Linked DNA regions of Nothobranchius furzeri. The protein of the gene in region 2 purifies or fractionates together with the protein of the main gene of each other region. This does not show direct contact. Links are inferred from orthologs where the notes say so. Each region holds a gene or a part of one and is shown on either strand. Other genes may lie near its edges.

Region 1 (7,532 bases), on a different chromosome or scaffold from region 2:
ACCGAAGATGCTCAGTACTGGCAGCAGGATTCCAGGAGGAGGTTCTGAGGAGGGAGACAGAGTGAATATCCGGTGGAATAATGGAGATTTCATCTTGAGGCTGAGCTTACAGTTTCTTGGTAGCGGTGAAATGTACAGGGAGGGTTTTTGTCAGGTCCAGGTGAGCAGAGGAGATCCAGAAGGTGAGAACTGATTTATCCAGAGATGTAGGAGAGGAGGTTGATGAGGACAGGTGAGCGGCTGAGAGCGGGCGGCCAGGGGAGGAGGCAGTGTGGTCTGGAGGGCAGGAGTCCGGGTTGGTTCTGGAGATGACGGAATGTGGAGAGAAGCCTGAAGGAGAGCAGGGAAGGACATTCAGGGATTTTTCCGGCGGCAGGTTAACTGGAACGAGATACAAGTACGAGACAGGTTAGAGACTAGAGCTACCCAAACAGAGCAATCATTGTACAATGATTTGAGAAGGTCCCTGTTTGAAACGATCAAGCATAAAAATCCAGATTTGTTCTGGTTATCAGAAGGTGATATGTTAAAGAGCAAGTCGCCCATAAATCAACTTATTTTTTCTGATAAACTATATAAATGTGTGTCTAATCGTGCTGCAGACACGTGTAGTCAATAGTTTAGCACTTTAGTGCATTTTAGTTCAAATGTTAATTTTCTGCCTAAAACTGTCAGTGTTGTGCCGTTGTCAGGTAAAAACTCTGCAGTTGAATTTAAATCTGCCATCGCTATTGGCTAAGAGGTACCCTAGAACGTTAGCTGGTACCATATGATGTCACAATGTCGTTGTGAGCCTGTCTGTGTATTTGTTAGCGGCTCCGCCCTCTCGGTCTGCCAGGCAACAGCATTTGTTGCATTTTTCAAACAGGAAGTGGGAGTGGAGTAAGACTCTGGTAGGGGGTGACTTGCTCTTTAAGTTGGCTTTTTAACAAAGGAACTGTTGTCCTGGTTAAAATTAAAGAAAGAGCTTGCCTATGGAGACGATCTGGACTTTATCCTGTCGCGTGAGCTCTTGTTTTGTAAATGTACGGCCATCTATGGTTTTATTGTTTGTTTACGGTGTCGTATAAGCCCGTGGGGCTGGGCACATGTTGTGCATGACAATTTAAGTAAAATTTATCTAACAACGAGAAATGAGAAACCACCCACAGCTTCTATACATGAGTCCACAATACACACAGTAATGTTTACCAGTGATGCACATCAAAGGTTCTGGAGCACTATATCAGTGTTTTATTATTATTATTTAGCTCATCCAGCTAAAAAAAAGGGCAAAACTAATTTTCTCAGTGCATTTTGTACCCCATTTTTATCCAGATGCAGGAGCTGATAGCTGATGAGTTTAGTGGTAAGAATAAAAGCTGACAAGGCAATGAAAATGAAAAGTTAAATACTTCAAAGACAAAAAGTGATTTCCAAGAAAAACTTAAATTTTTAAGGGGAAAATCCTAAAATACGATATTAATGCATCTGTTTAATATAGGATTTGAGCCTTGTTTAAAAAAAATACCTTTTTACCAAATATCTCATCTACACATCCCAGTAAACCTGAAACCTAGGCATCACCGCTTAGGCAAACTGCACCTAAAGCCTGTTTTTATTCGCTGTGTTGCAGAGTGATCGTCATGGACAGAGGCAACGTTTGTGAGATGGACTCTCCGGCCAACCTCATCTCACAGCGAGGACAGTTTTACAGGATGTGCCTTGAAGCGGGGCTGGTCTAGCTCTCTTAAATGGGGCTTGAATCAGAGGACTGGGGATCTGCTGTACAGATGTGGCACCTTTTCCACGTGTGGCTCGTCAACACATATTAAGTTGGGCTCTTTTGAGCTTTTGAGGCGTCCCAAAACTCTCTCCGTGAGGGCATTGTTGAGGAATTTCAAGAGCAGCTGCTGACGCATGACTTTTATTGAAAAACACACAAAGACACCTTGTCCTCGTGCAGGAAAAGACACTTCGGAAGATGAACACTCAAAAATGAAGCTATGTTTTAATGTTGAGTCTTAAAGCTACAAATGTAAATAGAGCAATGAAGTCATGTTTTCTGTAAAGGCTAAGAACTACAAGAGATCCACAAATCTCTTTAGGGACGGACGTTGTTTTATTTTTACAGTTTTTGTGTGTATTTGTCGATAAAGCACGGTGCATTTTCTGATGTTGTCTCAGGCTTAGACATGTTTACTTACACTTTTTAGCCTTGTACACAAAAAAGAAGAGGCACTTTTATACTTGCAAATTGATAGAAGTCTATTTTTATTCTCATCCCAAAAATTGGGACATGAAATATTCTGACACAAAAACCTTGAAAGGTTCATGCTGGTGAATTCAGGGAAAATGTGTGTGTGTGTGTGTTTTTTTAATGCAGACTTTTAAAATTTGAACACGAGGCCATTTTTAAATGTCAGGGAGGTGGAGGAAAACATTGAAGTAAGCCAAGACATTAGCAATCGTCCAACTATGTTGTGGCTATTGTTTATTTCTGTCAAAGTAAACACATAAAAAAGTCAATGGAGACGTTGCTGGTCAGCTTTAACCTGACACCGGTAGTGAAAACCACCATGAATGAGGAGAACGCCTCTTAAAAACAATGGTGATAAATCTCTACGGGATTGTCTCTGCGCCTTCACCACACAATCTCAGGCCATACCATAGACAGAGAGGAGAAAAAATCTGTATTTTTCTTATGGTGTTGACATGACAGACTGTAAATAGTCCACATGAAGCTTTAGTGTCAATTCAGAGAAAGAACTCTATGAACTTTCTGGAGAGGGGGAGTGTTTACTGTTTTTGTCTTACTGGTTTAGACAATATATTTTAAGAGAAACCCAAGTGTTTATTTATGTCTTTATGACAAAATGTATTAAATGTCCTTGAAATTCTGAGGATTATATTTATACTTTTTATAACAAGCTTGATTATTTTCACTGACCTTTGACGTTAATGTACTGTCTTGATCAATGCTGGAAAATAAAGTGTATTTGAATCTGTGGTTATTTTTGATTTTGAGTCATTTAGTTTATAGAATTGGTCAAATTCATTGTTTTTTATACAGATAAGTTTCAATAAGTCTGAAGTTGGTTAAGGTTTAAAGTGTTCTGTGCAGTCAAAGGCTCCAGAAAAATGTCTGAACAGACTCATGAGCCCAAAGGATCAAAGGGGGCACTGCTATTCCAATAATACATTTATTTTAAATTGCATGCACACGAATGGGCTCATAAAGAAGACATGAAGAGAAGCAGAAACATAAGACAAATGCGTTGGAGGGAAATTTCTCCAAAACATTTTACAGCGAGACACTGAAGTGATTCCACTCAGCAGACAAATGAGATTAAAAGTCATAAAAACGACCTTCAAAACTTGGCTGTTACAAGTAAAGACAAAAATAAGACAAAGAGTAAAAGAGATCATAAATACCGCAGGAAGTTGCAAAATACCTGATGAAATCCTAACTAATTAAGCCCAAAGTTCATGCTGAATATATGGGTGAACGTTCTTACCTGAAAAGGTGAGGTGCACCAACTTCTACTTCTCAGACTCTGCAGGTAAAGCTATGAAATGTTTGGAGGAAAACAAACACCTGTTTGGAGGCGTTGCGGGCCATTGAGGTTGTAGTTTCAACAAGCAGCCGCTAGATGGAAGACGTTAGCCCATAAACGGATTGTTTACATCACTTGTTGCAATGGCGACCATGTCTGAGCTAAAGAGTGGTAAGAGCTCACTCACTATATCGTTTTTCTTTCCTCAATCAAAAATCTTTACACAATTTCGCTTTATATTATGATAAATTTGTCAACGTTTTAGCTAACAACACAGCGTCTTCCAGCAATCTCCCATAATACAAATGTGCTAAATAAGTGGAAATGATTTTTCAGAAAAGCACACTTGCTCAATGTTTCCTGGGTTTTTATGTATTAGAATGTGCGTTTCATTCGTTAAAGCTAAATAAGACGTTTTAAACTATTTTAGCTTAGCTCGTGTTTCTTTTTGTCCACTAGCTGATGTTGGATACCCACAAGTTAGCCAGATTAGCTAGATTAGCTAGCTGGTTGTGGGGATAATAATACAACGGAAAAGTAAAAGTTGTTACATTCTATGACGATTGAAACTGTGGGTATTTTAGAGGTATGGACAATAGTATGAGCTATATTATAAAAGATTTAGCCTAAAAATCTTTAAGTAAATGTGAAATTCACATATAATTGAGTGAGGTTTGGTGTGTTGCTAAGATACATGATCTTTGGGGTTTACAAGCGACTCCCCCACACACGTACTCCTTACCATTGGCTGCCTGCTAAATTAATGTGTTATAATACAGATGTTTTATTGTTTTCAGCCGTGAGGGAAACCCTGGAGTCACGTGGCGTGCTGGGTCAGCTGAAGGCTCGTATCCGGGCGGAAGTGTTCAGCGCCCTGGATGACCAGCGTGAACCGCGGCCTCCTCTGTCTCACGAAAACCTGCTCATTAACGAACTCATCCGGGAGTACCTGGAGTTCAACAAGTACAGGTACACAGCGTCAGTGCTGACAGCAGGTGTGTGAATCAATTAGTCACCGTTTTTATGGCAGCAGTATACGTTTAAATGTAAACAAATGCTCTCCAGGTCAAGACTGATCACTTATGATGAAGATAAATGACCTGCACTTGTAGAGCGCTTTTCAGAGTCAGAGGACTCTAAAGCAATTTCCACAACAGTGTATCATTCATCCATTCACACACGGATGGTGATGAGCTACACTGTAGCCACAGCTGCCTTGATGCAGAAAAAGGCTTTGGTGCCATTTCAGATCCCACAGTGTGTCAGTGGGACAGCAGTAGCTCAACAGGTTGAGCAGGTTGTCCAGTAATCTGAAGGTTGCAGGTTCAATCCCGGCTCCGGTCAGAGAATTTTGCTGTTGTGTCCTTGGGCAAGACACTTAACCCACCTTGCCTGCTGGTGGTGGTCGGAGGGACCCGTGGCGCCTGTGCTCGGCAGCCTCGCCTCTGTCAGTGCGCCCCAGGGCAGCTGTGGCTACATCGCAGCTCATCACCATCAGTGTGTGAATGGATGAATGATACACTGTAGTGTAAAGCGCTTTGGAGTCCTTACTCTGAGAGGCGCCATACAAGTGCAGGTCATTTATCAGTATCAGTGTAACCACCCAGAGGACTTCTTCTCAGCATCGTTTGTTTTCTCAGAGTCGGGCCAGCCCGAGGCTTCCTTGGACAGACAGTTTCTGGCCAATGAGATGAAAATCACAGAGGATCCCAGCTCTAAGACAGTGTAAGTGTCAGGAGTGGGAAAATCCCAGCACAGTCTGGTGTTGATAACAGTGTTCAGTGATTTACCGAACGCTTGTGTTTAACCAGTGTGGCGATCATTGTTTTGTAATGACATAGTCATTTTGAATGGTTGTCTCTGATTGTGTAAAATATGACACGTGTTAGTGTTTTGCTTTCACCTCGTCACCATAACAAAACTGAGAAAAACTGGGAAACAAGCAACAGGCTCAGTTCCTGCCTGAGAAAAATAAAAATGTGTCAATGTGCTTTCATATTTCCTTGCAGGCCTCTTCTCTATGGATTGGTGTCTCACTTTCTGAATAGTGGTGATAACAGAGGGAAGGTTCTTCTTCGTGGTCCTGCTGTGACTAACGCAGCTCCTGAACATGATGCGTGACATGTGGGGGATGTTCTGGTGACTTGCGATGCTTCTGGACTGAATCAGGCTTTGTTTGGCTCTTATGTAGAGAATAAGAAATCCCACAGAATCGGACTGAACTCGGCTTGTTGTCTGTCGCTGGTATTATTCCACAAAGCCTCAGTGAAGTGTGAAATCCAGGGACAATAAAGTGTGGCCATATTTGTTGTCTTTTTATACTGTTGATAATAAAAGTTTTATTTATACCCTTTACGAATCTGTGAAAGTGTTTTTTTACACCACAAGATGGCAGTGTCTGCCCAACAAAAGCTAAATCTGGTCAAGCGACGCCTATTCAGTTTGTAGGATGAATGCAGCTTTAATTCCTTTCAAATTTCTAAAACTGATTGATTTTAAGACTTTTTGTCCTTTGCACTTGCATTGGTTTATTCTTTTGTTTGATTTTATAAAAATGTCCTCATCAAGGGGATCCGTTTTGATGGCCTGAAGATCAGGCCTCTGCTTTTTGCAGATGATGTGAACCTGCTGGTTTCATAAGGCTGTGATCTCCAACTTTCACTGGAGCGGTGTGAAGCAGCTGGGATGAGAATGCACTCCTCGAAACCCGAGACCAGGGTCTTGAGTCGGAAAAGGGTAGAATGCCTTCTCCAGGTCAGAGACGAGTTCCTGTTCCGAGTGGAGAAGTTTAAGCATCTTGGGGTCTTGTTCACGAGTGAGGGAGAGATGAAACGCGAGATCGACAAGCGGCCAAAATGAGTTTTCTCCGCCGGGTGACTGGGCTCTCCCTGAGAGATCGGGTGAGAAGCTCGGTGATCCAGGAGGGGCTCGGAGTAGACCCGCTGCTCCTCCACATTGAGAGGAGCCAGGTGAGGTGGCTCGGGCATCTAGTCAGGACGCCTCCCTGGAGAGGCACGTCCAGCTGGGAGGAGACCCAAGGGAAGACCCAGGACACGCTGGAGGGACTATGTCTCTTGGCTGGCAAGGGAACACCTAAGGATTCCCCTGGAGGAGCTGGCCCAAGTGGCTGGGGAGAGGGAAGTCTGGGCCTCCCTGCTTAAGCTGTTGGCCCCAGGAACTGACGTTGGATAAGTGGAGAAAAATGGGCGGGCCTCGTCACCATTAGGATGTTTAGTCTCACGTTGCAGATAAATCTCTTGCTCATTAATCATCACCCTGACCCATCAGCACAGCTACTCTACTGAGGGATACTAGTGTTCCCACGTAAACAAATGCTTCACATTGATTCTGATCGTCAGCATTTCCCTTCAAGCTTGAGTGACAGCTGCATAAACGCGTCCTTCCCTGCAGCAGAGAGAAGTCATGTTTACCCCTGGGCTCAGATCAGGATGCGATCGCATTCCAGGAGGGTCAGATGTATCCATAAACATGTAATCGCTCCAACAGACATCCATCTATGGACATGAAGGAGAAGACAATGAAACTAGGAGAAATGTGCTGTTTGTAAAAGGTTTCTTCGTGTTGCTCCACGTATAAAACTCTTACTATCAGCTCATTTAGTTTGAATAAATGCAAATGGGCATGATTTAGTTTACTTTACTTTATTTGACTGTTTTATGAGGCCTGAAGCTGGAACTGTACCAGTGGGACTGGCCCACTACTGCTTTTTAACGCTCACTCCCACCGTCTCCTCATAACTTCACAAACGTTTCCTAGCTTTGAGGAACTGGTTGAACCTTTTCTCTGGTTCATACTTAGGTATGGAAAACGTCCAGCCAAAGTCAACACACACGTCTCCTCGCTGGCGTCCCGGATCGATCACGGTTATAATAGTATTGGAACAGCTATTTTCATGGATCACGTTTGTCTCATTTCTGTATCTCGTCTGCAATCAGTTCATCAGATCCTTCATTCTTTCACGTTCCTTTCTCATCC
Region 2 (7,588 bases):
GTGGCATTTGAGGAAGCAGTGCATAGAGTGTTAGCAATGGATGACAAAACAGACTACCTCATCTCCACGGACACAGTCAGGCTCCACAGAAAGCCTCGTTCTGCCACCACTTGCTGTTCTTAACATCCAGAAGCTTTCACTAATAAACCCCTGTTACGCCATGAGACTGTAGGCGTACACTGCTGTAGTAACAAACTATGCTACTAACACTTTTGATTATTTTTTTTAAGGTTTGGTGATCATTGTTGGACTTCTGCCAAAACAAACAGAAAAGCAAACACTAAATTAATCTGTCTATTAACAAACTCAAAGCACTAACTTGTTGATTTAGTTTCGCTCCATTTTAAAAACTACTGGGGTCGGCCGAAGGTTTGACCATAAAAAGGATTCACATCCCTCTTAAAATAAGTACATTCTGTGTTCAGATGTTAAACATTCAACAAGTGTGATTATTTAATTTGATCTTCATGCTTGAAATGTCATTGTGGAGCAGGTAATCATATATTTACATAATTAACATTGAATTGCAAAGTAAAACATTATTTGTAGAAGCCAGTGAGCCAGTTTCAGTTCATTAAAAGGTATGAATTGACTACATTAGGTTTTGTCTGTATGTTATGCATGTCAATTGATGCTTTATGTTAGAAAAATGAAGACATATTCCCCATACAAGAAATAAACACCAAATGTTTTGTGCATGGCCTTTTTAATTGCATTTTATATTTATTTTTCTAACATTTCAAAAAATAAAAAGACTAAGCACTATGGAGCTTTTTCTTCTAATGAAAGTGTGATGAAGTAGTGACCGTATGTCATTGTTCAATGCTGTATTATTTAAAAATAATCCAACCGCACTCTTGTCATATATGCAAATTGGAAGACTTGAGCTACAACTTGATTGGAAAGTGAACCAGTTATTTACCTTAACTGTTTCTCATTTTAGTTATGTATAAAGTTGTCAGCTTGATATACTAAATGACAAATAAACACCCTCATAACTGTCTGATTAGCTTGTTTTGTGGCCTGATAACTAAATAATGACTCATTTAATTGTTCTAAGGATAATCAAGAACTTGTCTTGGTACTCTGCTCTGTAAGCACCGACATGATACAGAGCATTCCTCATGAAGAACTAGTGATCTAATGTCAGAGGTTCAAAGAGTCAGAATTTAATAAAAATGAACAAAAGATAGTTGTAGCCACAACTTTGACAATAACATTTTTACACAAGTTTTGCACAAAAGGAAAACGACAAAAAGATGAATGTCACACTGAATCCGCTCAAAGCGATTAACTCAGGAGATGTTTCTTTCCAAGGAACTGGACCTTCCTCTCAAACGCCGTCGAGCGGATTGGTGCATTGATTTCATAGAAGGGGTTCATTGCAAACTGAGGAAAAAACAAAGAAAATAGTAAATATCAAATGATCAGGAGAACATATTAGTGATTTTTTATAAACATGAAGCACGGCGCACCTTAATGTATAAGTCATACACATCATTAAAAAAGTTTTTGATTCCATCTTCTTGTCGAACATCATGCAGCATGATGAACCTTATATGTATGGCAGGTATTTAAGGAATATAAAGCTTACAAGAGTAATACATGTGAATGAGTATGAAAAAGTGATGAATATTTATTGTTTACAATAATGAAGTAGTTTATTTTAAAGAAACTAGAAATCAATCAGCCCATCACATTCTGGGAATAACTTTTCTTTTATTAGGAAAAATAAGACTCTTTATGCCTTTAAACGTGGTTTCACATAACACATTTCTATGTTGTACAATCACATTTCAACGTTTTCCAGTTGTTTTTAAAACAGAAACAAAATAATTAAGAGAAAAAACACAAAAAGGATATGTCCTGCTGTGACGAATGCAGACACAAACCACTCGTTAAACTTGTCCACAGTTTTCAGGTACATACTATTGGACAGCCACATGTTTTCATCCACCAAATCTAGCGCTGCGTGTGCAATGAACTGGTTCAGGTGACGGTGATCATCCTGTAGTCACAGAAAGAAATAATTTCAAGATAATACATTTAATTAACGTAGTTATGATTAATATGTGTGTGCAATTTTCCCACAATTAAGTCACTTTAACAGTTTATTATGATCAGTTGAGCAGAAGTACCTTTGATTCAGGCTTCCCAGATGGCAAAAACTCCATCTCAAACACAGGATTGTCATGATGACCAACCATAACAAAATAAAAACTTCCCGACATCGTTTAGATCTCCTTTTATCAAATCAAACGTTACCTGCAGTCGATTAAAGACAAACATATATGGTTAAATAACAAACATTAGAGAAGCTAGTTGCTAGATGGCTAATTTTTAGCAAACGGGTTAACAGAATAATGTTGTTCAGTAATAAAAATGACTTTAAAAGAAAAACATACACAAGAGAGAAAAATATAGAGCAAGCAAAGCTACATTTCAAGATTAACCGATTTTTGTTTACCTTTTAGAGTCGCTTCCTGGAAGACTAAAACTTCAGTCGCATGAAGATGACGACAGTATAAGTAAGAAAAAAAGAATGTTTCACGAGGACTTTATTATTTTAGATTTTTTTTTAGAATATTATCAAAATAACGTGTATTTACTATTATGTTGTAAAAATTTTACAATACCATTTTTTTTCACTAACCAATATTTGTTACGTCATATTTGTGCGCCCGTGTCGGTTGGTAAATTTTAAAATGCTTTGCATACGCTTCTGCTCGTCGGGCCGCTTAATGGCAAACATTCATCATTTTTTTGGATATAAATTTTTCTTGATAGATCGAGAATTGTAATCTACGTAATAGCCAAAACTTTTAAAGTTGTTTTGGGTGAAATATTTATTCCGTTAACGTGCACAGCTGTGTGGATATTTATCTGCGAAGCCCTGCAGTTATGTCTTCATCGAAGGAAGATGGGTTGTCCCCAGAAGAGCTGAGGAAAAGGCTTTATCAGACTTTTAAAAACAGAGGAGTGCTTGATACCCTCAAAGTAAGCTAAATATCCTTGTTTAAACCTTTTTAGCCCAACTTGGCATTAGAAGCTACGTTGTCATTCACTTGTTTTATCCCCAGGTGCAGCTGCGTAATCAGCTCATCCAGGAGTTAAAATGTTCACAGGAACCAGCTCCCAGACCGGTACCGGACACAGATGAGCCTCTTTTACTTTTAGCCTGTAACAGCATCGTGTCAAATCATCTCGTTGCGTCAGGATATGAATACACTCTTTCTGTGTTCTACCCTGAATGTGGGTTAAGTAAGGACAAGGTGTGTGACTTTATTTATGTCCCCTTACGAAGTTTAAATATATTCCCTGTAGATACACATTTATTATTATTATTATGATATTATTATTATTTTTATTATTCATTATGCTGCCTCACTGCCACCAAGGATTGGCTGAATAGTGTTTGTTGATCTACTAAATACATAAACACAGATACAGGTGTTTGTTTATGTTTATTTTGTACAGATTTTAAAGAGAGACGGCCTTCTTCAGATTCTTAAAATCCACCCTGCATCACCCCACTACTCCTCCATGGTGAATAATGTCACCTGCTCTACAGGGCCAGTAAATTCTAATCTAAATTGAGCAAAATTTTAATAAAATATATATTTATATTTTTTGCTAGGTAAATACAGAAATCAATGATAAAGGTATGTTTTAATATACTTTCTTTATAAAAGTGATAGTTTTGTTTTGATTTTGATATTGTGGTTATGTCCTGCAGGATTTCTGTTCAGCCTTTTAAAACATCTGACAAATGATTACCATCCCAGCCTCTGTCATGATGTGGAAACTCAGACAACCAGCTTATCGAGTTACGGAGAGTCTCTTGGTATGAAGGACTGCTGTTTGAAATTACGCTGTTTTGATTTCTATCTTGTAGCCTGAAGCAAATAAATTTTACTTTCCTCGTTTTCTTTGCACTCAGTCGAAAAGATGAAAATGATCGATAAGGAATATGAGAGCGTTAGTTTCAGTGATGACAGAATCTTTCCCTTTCAATCAAAACTGGCTGCATATAGAAAAGAGACAGAAGCACAGATGGAAGCAGAAATGAACACAAAGGTTTGTGCTCACAAACTCCTGTAATGAGGATTAATCATCAGATGTTTGTGTTGTGTTAATCTACTTTAATGTTTTCTTTCTTGTATTAGCTGCAGCATTTTAAAGAAGTGGAGATTGCTAAGGTGAGAATGGAAGAAAAATCAAAGTTTCATAAAGAATTTGATCGTCTGAAGCAAGAACTGGAGAGGAATTATGAAATGAAGACAACGGTGCTGATGGAGAGAGAGAAAAATGCGATTGATCGGCTGCAAAAACAGCAAGAGGTGAAAATTTGCTATTATTTAGGGACGTTTGTTTGCTTGGAAAACGTTTTTCCTATTTTCATACACTTTTTATCATTGCACTGCTTACTGCAGTGCTTTGTGTTTCTTGCAAAACATACAGCATCATCATGTTTTCATTTATTAAAACAAAAGCATCATGAATAGACCTCAAAAAGTGTCATTAAAATACTTCAGATACTTGATTTTCTGGTTAAATATAATTTCCAAGTCAGAAACAAAGCAAAATAAACAACAGAAAAATTCTGATTTTATGTTAAAACTAAACAATTCTTAAATGTTTTTAAATGTTCTGATTATATCAGTGCTTACATGAAAATAAATACAATATTGCTAACATTTAAGACTTTTGGGTTTGGGGGGGTTAAACAAAATGGTTTTAATGTGTTTGGCTTTTAACAAAGAGCAGTTGTGTGCAGGGTCACTTAACACCCCTCATTTGAGTTTTCTACCTAGCATCACTAAATAAATTTTCCTAATCCTCCCTCCTACTGGTTGAAAACAGAATTACAAGTGTTGTAAATAACCCTGGCTGCTTTAGCTAGTGCTAATGAGCTAATGCTAACACGAGCTAATAACTACTAAAATAAGCCACAAAGCAAAAAGGTCCACGCTGTTGGACAAAAAATATATAACTTACAAGTCCAGTATCAACAAAGCCAGGTCACCATCAGTCCGTGATTTCGTAACCTTTAGCTTGCTCAAACTGATGTGGGCCATGCCGATGTTCACTCTGGTTCACGACTGAAACCAGTTTGAAAGCAATAGTTTAACTCGTTAACTGCCAGCCGTTTCCTGATCGGAAAAGCCTCACGTTGCCAGTGTTTTTCTGTGGTTTTTTTTTTTTCTGTTTTTTGAAGAGTCAAAACATTGTGCTATATGATGATGTCAACGCCAAAACTACCAAAACAAAGAGTGGGCTCACTTCTTACATCAGGAAGAATTCAGTTCAGTTCAATTCAAAAATACTTTATTAATCCCAGAGGGAAATCGATTGCTGTAGTAGCTCAGAATCCGCGTGTTTCGAGCGTTATCCGTTCTTTCATAATCCGTTGTTGAATTGTGATCGACAGAAGCTTTGCGCCTCACTTTTTTCACAGCAGCGGCCGAAAACGTTGTTCTAACACATGGATTTTCTGCTTCCTGATCACGTGACATGTGACGTATGCGGATGAAATTCAGCTTTAGAGCCTTGATGTTTGTTCCCACGCTGCGGGGGCTCGTTCCGACGCCCACCCAGTAAAAAAAAAGAAATGCAAACGACGACTTTTGTTGTCAATGGCAGTAAATGAGTTAAGTATTAAAAACTCTTTAGTGCTGCTTTAATTTCTCCTCACACGTCATCCCTCTTTAGTAACATAATAAAACATCCAAAGAATGGCCTGTAAAAAATATATGCTGATACTTCTTGAGGTGTTCCAAGGTTGTTTACCTAATTTGACAAACTCCTTGTATCATGAGTAATAATAATAATCAGGGATGTGTATTGTTGAAATTCTGGCGATATGATACATATCACGATACAGGGGAGACGATACGATACATCGTGATATATTGCAATACATTCAGTCAGACGTTACAAGCTATTTTTTTTTACTGAATTTATTGTAAGAGTGTTCAACAAACAGTCCAAACTGATACGTAACATGTTTAAAATGAGGTATCTGAACCATGATGGAGGGATTTACATTTCAATGGTGGAAACAAAACCCGTTGCCAACTAGCGGGTGGCGATTGAATTACACAAAACGAAAAGAAAATGCACAAATGTTTGCATGTAAATTCTTTCAAAAATTAGATACACGGCTTTTGAATATCAATATAATATTGCTGGAAAAAATATCACGATATATTGCCATAACGATATTTTCTTACACCCCTAATAATAATAATAAAAAGTAATAATAAGGCATTTATTTCAAAGCGCCTTTCAAGGGACTCAAGGACACTTTACAGCAGTAAAATAGCAACAAAGAATCCGAGTTAAAAATAGCAAAAATCACACACAGAAGCCTTAAAAATACAAACTAGATAATGAAATCAATGAAGATGGAAAAGGTGACACTAGCAGTAAGCAGTCTGAAACAGGTGGATTGTGAGTCCAGATTTAAAGGAGGAGAGCGGGTCGGAGTTATGGATGGTTGAGGGAGAGAATTCCAGAGACGGGGAGTAGAGCTGCTGAGGGCTCTGCTCCCCATAGAGCTGAGACGGAAAGGTGGGACAGAGAGAGTGACAGAGGATGATGATCTGAGGGAACAGATGGGAGAGATAATGTGAATGAGGTCAGACAGGTATGGGGGGGGGGGGGGGTTATGGATAGCTTTAAATGTGAGGAGAAGGATTTTGAAATCTATGCGTAGTTTCACAGGAAGCCAGTGAAGCTGTTGCAGGACAGGGCTGATATGGTGACTCACAGGGGTTTAGAAATGATGCGTGCAGCAGAGTTCTGGACCAGTTGGAGCTTATTGATGGACTTTTGTGGTAAAACAAAGAGGAGTGAATTGCAGTAGTTGATTCTTGAGGTGACGAGGCTGTGAACAAGTTTGGAAGCAGAGTGGGGGGTGAAAGAGGGGCGAAGGCGATTGCGCAGGTGAAAGTAGGCAGACCGAGTGATGTTACTGATGTGGGATTGAAATGAAAGAGTGCTGTCAAGGATGAGTCCTAAAAAGTTACTTTTTAGTGGGATTTTTAGCATTGATTGATTGAAAATTTCATCTTTTTTTGTTAGATTGAAGAAAAAAATATCTACCTGCAGAGGCAGGCGGTGCTGAAAGACATCGAGTCTGTGCATAACAGAGAGAACGAGCTGAGGAGGAGAATGGAGGCTTTCGAACAGTAAGATTATTTTTAATCATCTTTATTTAATTCATTTTCTTACCTTTTTATATTTGTTCTGCATATCTTTATTTTCATGAAACCAGGACCTGTCAAACTCAAGCAGAGAAGGTCCAAACTACTGAAGAGCTGCTGAGGAGGCGAGAACTGGCTGTGAAGACTATGGAGGACACGTATGACCAGAAGCTGAAGAACGAACTCGCCAGGTTATTGAACTTAAGTCTTTATTTATTTATTTATTTATTTATTTATTTATTTATCAACTCAAAAAAGATCATTCATTTGAAACGCTGGTTTTTGTGTTAGGTATCAGCTGGAGTTGAAGGAGGAATTTATTAAAAGAACAGAAAGTCTCACAGAGAGCGAGAACAGAAACAAAGGTAAGTATTTTAGTT

Evidence for each region. The genes of interacting proteins can lie anywhere in the genome.
Region 1: the proteins of ofd1 (region 2) and cep20 purify together in Homo sapiens (co-immunoprecipitation; 3 studies listed by BioGRID and IntAct, with this or other methods). This does not show direct contact. The link is inferred for Nothobranchius furzeri from reciprocal best matches to the Homo sapiens genes OFD1 and CEP20.

Annotation. Positions count from the first base shown.
Region 1 is NC_091746.1:24,771,858-24,779,389, reverse strand, and holds cep20 (centrosomal protein 20), read left to right. Parts: upstream 1-3,597; 5' UTR 3,598-3,679; coding exon 3,680-3,707; intron 3,708-4,333; coding exon 4,334-4,531; intron 4,532-5,176; coding exon 5,177-5,261; intron 5,262-5,545; coding exon 5,546-5,657; 3' UTR 5,658-5,891; downstream 5,892-7,532. Other genes in the region: abcc6a (multidrug resistance-associated protein 1), read left to right, coding at 1,616-1,724. UniProt on the Homo sapiens protein: Involved in the biogenesis of cilia. Required for the recruitment of PLK1 to centrosomes and S phase progression.
Region 2 is NC_091754.1:23,212,285-23,219,872, forward strand, and holds the start of ofd1 (centriole and centriolar satellite protein ofd1), read left to right. Parts: upstream 1-2,691; 5' UTR 2,692-2,901; coding exon 2,902-2,997; intron 2,998-3,080; coding exon 3,081-3,272; intron 3,273-3,477; coding exon 3,478-3,546; intron 3,547-3,637; coding exon 3,638-3,662; intron 3,663-3,736; coding exon 3,737-3,844; intron 3,845-3,940; coding exon 3,941-4,077; intron 4,078-4,166; coding exon 4,167-4,340; intron 4,341-7,086; coding exon 7,087-7,193; intron 7,194-7,279; coding exon 7,280-7,399; intron 7,400-7,499; coding exon 7,500-7,573; intron 7,574-7,588. Other genes in the region: rab9a (ras-related protein Rab-9A), read left to right, coding at 1-123; trappc2 (trafficking protein particle complex subunit 2), read right to left, coding at 1,291-1,389, 1,476-1,557, 1,860-2,008, 2,139-2,231. UniProt on the Homo sapiens protein: Component of the centrioles controlling mother and daughter centrioles length. Recruits to the centriole IFT88 and centriole distal appendage-specific proteins including CEP164. Involved in the biogenesis of the cilium, a centriole-associated function.